Callithrix jacchus: one gene and its partner. The protein of the gene in region 1 interacts with the protein of each later gene in a pairwise test. Links are inferred from orthologs where the notes say so. Each region holds a gene or a part of one and is shown in the gene's direction. Other genes may lie near its edges. The genes, in order: ALDOA and ENO3.

Region 1 (4,242 bases):
CACAGGCTGCAGTGAGCTAAGATTGCACCACTGGGCTCCAGCCTGGGCAAGAGAGTGAGACCCTGTTTCAAAAAAAAAAAAAAAAAATTAAAAATATGTGAATTGCCAATTTCAAAGAAACCTAGAAAGATTTTTAAAATCATTCATGAATGTTGTCTGTGCCTTGCACAGAGTAGAAGCTCGAAAATGGCGAATGAGACTCTAGTTTGGTCTCATGCGAAGGAGTCCATAAAGCCCACAAGTCATTTTCATGATGGACAGAAAAACGTGTGCTTTCTCTGTCTACTGACTCAGCTGCACAGGCCACGGGACTGTAGCAGAACCATCTTTTCAGCTGGACTTCAGGAGGCCCAAATTCTAGCACGGGACCCAGGGCCAGTTGCTCTCTGGTCCCGTGCTCTCAGTCTCCTCACCCATAAAATGGGAAAGGGAGAACCCCCGAATTATTGCTTCTAGCTCCTGAGCTCAGTTGTTTAGAACAAGGACGCACTGCTGATTTTTCAACAGCACAGGCAATTGCTGTTCCTGGGAATGATGGACCGTACCCTCTGTTCTACTGGGCAAGTGGGACTTCCCAGGCCTCTCTGTTCCCTTCTCTCCTTAGAGAGCAACAGACTTGGCCCCATCCCACTTCCCTCATACCCCTCTCTCTCATCCCTCAGGACTGGGCACCTCACTGCCCCCGCTGCTGCCCACTCTGCGACTGTGCCTGTACATGCCAGCTTCCCGACTGCCAGAGCCTCAACTGTCTCTGCTTCGAGATCAAGCTCCGATGAGGATCCAGTGTCCTGCCCTCTGGGGAGCGGCCAGCCCCCAGGGCCCATGTGCCCTCCTCCTTGAGGGGCCTCAGGACACTTTTCTCCAGGCTGCTGGAACCACAAATGGCCTGCCCAGCACCCAAGCCTGGGAACTGGAAGTGGCTGTGCAGGGCCTGGCTCCCTGCAGGGCAGGACTCTTGGCCGGCTGCATGGCACCTCCTCTGGATGGCCAGAGAGGGGCTAGTGCTCCAGCAGGTGCCCTGGCTCCCCTTCTCCTACCCAAGTGAACGATTTTAAGGTGGGCAGGGGAGTGGCGCTGCTCACCACACAGTGTTATAGGAGGAGCCTGGGCCTTGAGTACCGAGTACTCAGGGGTGCCACAACCACACTCCATCCATGGACTGTTATTTTAGGAGGTGAGTGTAGTGCCAGTATCTGCTCTCCTTTAAAAAAAAAAAAAACCCAAGGCTCCAGAGAATCACTACAGCCACCGTCACTGCAGGGAGTCGGGAGGAGGGAGATTAGAGAAGGAGCCAGGGAGGCCACGTGATCCGAGTCCCCTTACCCCTTTCCCTTCGACAGATCCCTGGCCAGAGATTTATTTCTCTTGACAACCAAGGGCCTCTGTCTGGATTTCCAAGGAAGACATTTCCTTTGAAGCACCGGTGAGTGGGCAGGGGCTCCCTCGTCAATACGGCAGACAAGCCTTCCTCCCCCTTCCCCGAGGCCGGGCCCCACGCTGGTGTGAATGTCAGGGGCTTCAGGTTTCCCTAAATATAGGTTCCTGCCAGAGGATCCGTGGCGGGAAAAGGGCAGAGGTCATCGGAGAAGGTCGGGGACACTGGTGCCGGGCGGGCAGGAGCCGCCTTATAACCCAGCCCGGGCACCCCTGGCTCACTCGCTGCTGACCAGGCTCTGCCGGCTTCTTCAGTCTCGCCGCAGGTGGGCCCCTCGCAGGACTGGGCTGGGGTAGGGGTGGGGTTGGGCCGACAGGCTCTTGGTGAGTCCGGGTGAGGAGTGGAGACTTGGACGGTAGGAGTTGGGGGCTCAGAAAGCATCTGAGGCAGATCAGCTCGGGGATGGATTTTATTCTGGAGAAGGAAGTCAGGTCCAAGGAAGACGTTTGGCAGGGACTGTGGCCCTGCATGCCCGAGGCCGAGCAGCGGCCGGTACATGGCGGCGCAGGGTGTCCACCTGGCTACGACCGCCCGAGTGGAGAGAACGTGCGCATGCGCGATCCAGCCCGCCCCGCCTGCTGGGAGCCCGCACAGCGGAGGCCTAGCCTTCGTGCCGCGCCAGCCCCACCGCCCTGTCGCGCTTCCGCGTATTCTCTCGCCGCCCTTTCCTCCGCCTCCCTTACGCCTGGGCTAGTGACGGGTGACGGGGGATCGGCTCCGCGCCTTTCACGGCCCAGGCCGCAGGCGAGGCAGGCCGACTTGCGACCCGGTGGTGACACGCGCCGCAGCCGCGCAGGCTGGAAACTGGAGCTGCCCCGGGCCGCGGGCTGGGCCTGGGAGGCCCAGCCCAGCCTCCTCCTTTTCCGACTCTTCCATCTGCATCTCCCACCTTCCCGTCCCCCACTCCTCCGGTGCTGATATTCTGGCTGAGTCACGGTGCCCAAGAGCGCGCCAGGAGGGGGAGAAGGAGCGGAGGGGAGGGCCCTGGCGACCCGCGGGATGTGGCCCGAGTCACGTCCGAGGGGGGCGGGGGAGGAGTCGTGTTCTCACCGCCCGTCCTCTACCTAGCGCGGCCTCTGGGCTGCGCCTCTTGGGGGCGGCCCGTCGCCCACTCCCTCGCTTGCAATTGGACGCCTCCCGCTCCCTGCAGAGGAAAAAGCTCGGCGGAGGGCGGAGTGGTGCCTTTAAAAGGCCGAGCGCCGCCTTCCTCCTGCCCGCCCATTGCACCGCCCCCTCCGAGGCTGGTTCGGCTGCGTTCCTCTCGGAACGCGCCGCAGAAGGGGTCCTAGTGACGAGTGCGGCATTCGCTCCCAGAGTCCACTCGCCAGCCCGCCGTCCTCTGCCGCCAGATCCCGCACACTCGCCCCTCTCCTGTACCAGGTGAGCGCTCCTCTTCACGTGCGGGGACCAGGGACCGTGGAGAAGGATCTTGAGGGCAGTGGCGGGTTGGGCGTCCGCGTGGAGCCCCCCCTCACCCCATGCCAGCGTCTCCCCACTACTGGCCACATTCAGGCTCCTCGGCCCCTCCACCCTGAGGTCACCTAACTGCGCAATGCAGCCGCTGCACGCGCTGAGTCATGGCGGGGGAGGAAGCCAGACGAGATGGAGGACCATTCTCCTCCCCTTTTGTTGCAGGGACCCCTGTGGCAAAGGATTAGGGCCCCTTAGTCTCGGTGGGGATCCTAAGCGACAGTGAGGGGTGAGGGCAGGCCCGTGTACACCCCCAGGGTTCTCGCAAGCGGGAGGTTGGTTCCTGGCCTGCGGAACTCGGCGCCCCTCTCGAGGAGGGAAAACCCCTTGGTGGCGCTTGATGCCCGGCTAACACTTTCCGTCTTTCCTTATCGGGCGACCTTGATTCTGAGCCTGGAACAGCTACAGCCTTGGGAAGCGACAGGACATTTTTCTTGGAAAGGGATGGGGCTCTTGCCCCTCCGCCCGTAGGAAGTGACCACGGCAAAGATTACCGCTTTCCTCTCCTCGCCTCAGGCTAGGACTTGTTAGGCCCTTGCCTGAGCTTCTCCTTGCTCTCTTACCTTTCTCCTAATACCCCTTTCCTACCACCCGCCCCCTCCCTTGTGGGGAAAACCCTGACCTTGGGATGTCCTTGAAGGGTTGGAGCCCAGGCCAGCCCTGGGATCTTGGGTGGATTGGAAGGAACGCCCCAGTGGCAGTCAGGAGAGCTAGGTTAATCTCAGATCTGGCTCCGGGGTTGCTGTGTGGCTTGAGGCACAGACCTTTTCCTTATCTGGGCCCTTTCCCACGAGGGTGTTGGGCCCTCTGCTCGATTCACGACCTTTACATTCTAAAATACTCCGGTTCGGTTTTGTTTTCAGGCAAGGTGGCCCCATGGCAAGGCGCAAGCCAGAAGGGTCCAGCTTCAACATGACCCACCTATCCATGGCTATGGCCTTTTCCTTTCCCCCAGTTGCCAGTGAGCAACTCCACCCTCAGCTGGGCAACACCCAGCACCAGACAGAGTTAGGAAAGGTACAGGGGCAGGCCTAGCATAGGGAAGTCGGGCGTATGGGAGAGCTGGGAACCAGAGGTGCCCCCAGGGCCTACTGGGTGTGGGGCAGGGGAGGTAGGGGACATTTGCCCTGACCTCCAGGCGAGGGGCCCTGCTTATTGGGAGATCATGAGAAGGCCCAGCTAACCAATCCTCTCCCTGTTTCCTGTACCCAGGAACTTGCTACCACCAGCACCATGCCCTATCAATATCCAGCGCTGACCCCGGAGCAGAAGAAGGAGCTGTCTGACATCGCTCACCGCATCGTGGCCCCGGGCAAGGGCATCCTGGCTGCAGATGA
Region 2 (3,692 bases), on another chromosome or scaffold:
GGCATTTCTTTGTATCTTCTTGAATCCCCCCCCCTTTTTTTTTGAGACAGTCTCACTCTATCCCCCAGGCTGGAGTGCAGTGGTGCAGTCTCAGCTCACCGCAACCTCTGCCTTACGGGTTCAAGCAGTTCTCCTGCCTCAGCCTCCCAGGTAGCTGGGACTACAGGCATACGCCACCATGCCCAGCTAATTTTTGTGTTTTCAGTATAGATGGGGTTTCACCATGTTGGCCAGGATGGTCTTGATCTCTTGACCTTGTGATCCTCCGCCTCAGCCTCCCAAAGTGCTGGGATGACAGGTGTGCGCCACCACACCCAGTCCTTGAGTTCCTTCTAAAACCAGTGCCCTCTTACTGAAGGGAAACTTTTTGAATTTAATCTCACTAATAATGTTACCATTTCTTGTTAGTTACTAGGAAGATTGCCTGAGAGCATGGACTCTAGAGATAGATTGCTGAGTTTGAATCCTGCCTCTGCCTGTTATTAGTTGTATGGTTTTAGGCAAGTTCTTTAAGTGCTCTATGTGTCCCTTTCTCCATCTGTAAAATGGGGGTTAATAATGATACCAATGAATATAGGTGTTTTGAGAATGAAATGAGCTAAAATGTCAAGTACTTATTGCCTGGCATGTAGTAAATGCTATAAAAATGTTAGCTATTATATACCAGGCACATGCTAAGAACTTTACATTCAGTTTCTCTAATTTTCAGCAAAAGATCCTACGGGGAAGTTGGTGCTATCCCCATTTTATAGAAATGAGGAAAGAGAGGCCGGGTGCGGTGGCTCACACCTGTAATCCCAGCACTTTGGAAGACTTGGCAGGTGGATCACGGTCAGGAGTTTTGAGACCATCCTGGCCAACACAGTGAAATCCTGTCTCTACTAAAAATATAAAAATTAGCTGGGCATGGTGGTGCACACCTGTAGTCACAGCTACTCAGGAGGCGGAGGCGGGAGAATCTCTCAAACCCAGGAGGCAGAGCTTGTGGTGAGCGGAGATAGTGCCACTGAACTCCAGCCTGGGCAACAGAGCAAGACTCTGTCTCAAGAAAAAAAAAGAAAAGAAAAGAAAAAGAAAAAAATGAAATGAGGAAAGAGGCTCATGAGCAAAATTACTCATCCTAGACCACTGAGCCAATAAGTAGTGAAGCCAGGTTTCCACCCCAACACCCCTGCCCCTATCCCTTCTTGAGCCCTTATGCCCCAGCTCAGGTCCAGGCACCCTCTCCCCATCTCAGGCTTTCAACGTGATCAACGGGGGCTCCCATGCTGGAAACAAGCTGGCCATGCAGGAGTTCATGATTCTGCCTGTGGGAGCCAGCTCCTTCAAGGAAGCCATGCGCATTGGTGCTGAGGTCTACCACCACCTCAAGGGGGTCATCAAGGCCAAGTATGGGAAGGATGCCACCAATGTGGGTGATGAAGGTGGCTTCGCACCCAACATCCTGGAGAACAATGAGGGTCAGTGTTGAGCACCCCGGGGGGCAGACCCCCCGGATCTCCACACGGGCAGGGGAGGCTGCAGACAAGGGGGCACTGGAGTCTCAGGTCCTGTCTTGCTCCTCTCCCAGCCCTAGAGCTGCTGAAGACAGCCATCCAGGCAGCTGGTTATCCAGACAAGGTGGTGATCGGCATGGATGTGGCAGCGTCTGAGTTCTATCGCAATGGGAAGTACGATCTTGACTTCAAGTCACCTGATGATCCCGCACGGCACATCACTGGGGAGAAACTTGGAGAGCTGTATAAGAGCTTCATCAAGAACTACCCTGGTGAGGCTCTCAGGTGCCCTAGTGTCCCTGCCCGAGTCCCATGCAGCTCTCTACCATACTGATGTCAGTGACCTGCTTTACCATCCACTTGGATCCTTCCCATTTTTAGCCCCACTGACATCCCCATTTAAGCTCTTCTGCCGTGTCACCCCTGCGTGAGGCCCCTTCTGACCTCTAGCCCTGTATCTGCTACCAACCCCCACCAGTGGTCTCCATCGAGGACCCCTTTGACCAGGATGACTGGGCCACTTGGACCTCGTTCCTCTCGGGAGTGAACATCCAGATTGTGGGGGATGACCTGACAGTCACCAACCCCAAGAGGATTGCCCAGGCCGTTGAGAAGAAGGCCTGCAACTGTCTGCTGCTGAAGGTCAACCAGATTGGCTCGGTGACTGAATCGATCCAGGCGTGAGTGCCTCCTGACCCTGAGGCTCACCGTAGCCTCCCTCTGCCCCAGCTCTGTTCAGTTCAGCTACAGTCTCACTCACTAATTCCAAGTTTACCCTTCTTCTGGCACCTGACCTACCCACACCTTGACATCAAGGCTTTGACTAATCCTTGGCCTGACTCCAAGTGCTTTGCCACTGTAGCCCTGACATGATCCTCACCCCCACCCCACACTATTCCTCTCTGATTCTGCTGTTCTTCTCAGCAGCATCTCAAGAGCCCAAAATCAAGATGAGAAGTCTTTTCCTCTCCTGTTTCTCAACGAACTTAGTCACTGCCCTCCCTGCAGAGTGCCTGCTACTCAAAACAGAAGGGAGAGGCCCCACCCAACCCCTGCTCTCCCACTGAGGAGGTTCCAGAAGTCCTCATCAAATGTCCTCCCCATCCAGGTGCAAACTTGCTCAGTCTAACGGCTGGGGAGTGATGGTGAGCCACCGCTCTGGGGAGACTGAGGACACATTCATTGCTGACCTTGTGGTGGGACTCTGCACAGGACAGGTACTTGTAGCTTCTCTCTATTGAGTGTCTGACCAAGTTTTCTTGGGGTCCCTGGCCTCCTCCCACTAAGGTGAATGCTCCCTTGGGGCCGGGTCCAACTCCCTCCTCTCTAACCTCACCCAACCCTCCAAATCCTTCTTCCCTCATCAGATCAAGACTGGCGCCCCCTGTCGCTCGGAGCGTCTGGCCAAATACAACCAACTCATGAGGTACAGTGGGAGCATTGGGCCTGGGCATTGGGGTGCTGAAGGCTGTTGGGTTGGAAGGCAGCAGCCCTGACTTTGCCTGCATTCTAGGATTGAGGAGGCTCTTGGGGACAAGGCTATATTTGCTGGACGAAAGTTCCGCAACCCGAAGGCCAAGTGAGAACCAGGATTCCACTGGACAGCCCCAGGTCTTCCAGACCTGCTTCCTGAAATAAACACTGGTGCCAACCAAGACAGCTGTGTGCTTCTTTGTGGGAGGGAGGAGAGGGATACTGGTTTCTGGGCTGAGCTAGGAAAGACAGGAGGTGGAGAGAGAGGGGCAGGGAGGGAAGGCAAATAGATGTGTAACCTGCTAAGACAAAAAGGAGATGAGGGACTCAGAGAGGAGCCTGGTGGATCTAGAACAACAGAGGCATTTACATTTCTGAAGGAGGTAGCTATATGTTAAATGAAACTGCAGAGCTGCCAGTGGAGCCGGCATGGTGGCGCACACCTGGAGTCCCAGCCACTAGGGAGGTTGAGGTGAGAGCTTGAGCCCAGAAGGTCAAGGCTGCAGTGCGCCATGTTCACACCACTGCACTCCAGCTTGGGCTGCAGAGCAAGACCTTGTCTCAAAGGAACAAAAAAATGAAAACAAACAAAAAACTAAAGAGTTGCAGATGGAATAAGAAACCAGCCCTAGGCTGGGTGCGGTGGCTCACGCCTGTAATCCCAGCACTTTGGAAGGCTGAGGCAGGTGAATCACGAGGTCAGGAGTTGAAAACCAGCCTCAC

What was found.
Region 2: the proteins of ALDOA (region 1) and ENO3 interact in a two-hybrid assay, tested with the Homo sapiens proteins (2 studies listed by BioGRID and IntAct, with this or other methods). The link is inferred for Callithrix jacchus from reciprocal best matches to the Homo sapiens genes ALDOA and ENO3.

Annotation. Positions count from the first base shown.
Region 1 is NC_133513.1:29,453,614-29,457,855, reverse strand, and holds the start of ALDOA (fructose-bisphosphate aldolase A), read left to right. Parts: upstream 1-1,346; 5' UTR 1,347-1,423; intron 1,424-1,654; exon of another isoform or gene 1,655-1,700; intron 1,701-1,826; exon of another isoform or gene 1,827-3,768; 5' UTR 3,769-3,781; coding exon 3,782-3,922; exon of another isoform or gene 3,923-4,117; coding exon 4,118-4,242. Other genes in the region: uncharacterized protein LOC118146229, read left to right, coding at 663-1,045. UniProt on the Homo sapiens protein: Catalyzes the reversible conversion of beta-D-fructose 1,6-bisphosphate (FBP) into two triose phosphate and plays a key role in glycolysis and gluconeogenesis. In addition, may also function as scaffolding protein.
Region 2 is NC_133506.1:106,523,517-106,527,208, forward strand, and holds the end of ENO3 (beta-enolase), read left to right. Parts: intron 1-1,237; coding exon 1,238-1,460; intron 1,461-1,570; coding exon 1,571-1,768; intron 1,769-1,974; coding exon 1,975-2,176; intron 2,177-2,604; coding exon 2,605-2,713; intron 2,714-2,863; coding exon 2,864-2,922; intron 2,923-3,009; coding exon 3,010-3,079; 3' UTR 3,080-3,151; downstream 3,152-3,692. UniProt on the Homo sapiens protein: Glycolytic enzyme that catalyzes the conversion of 2-phosphoglycerate to phosphoenolpyruvate. Appears to have a function in striated muscle development and regeneration.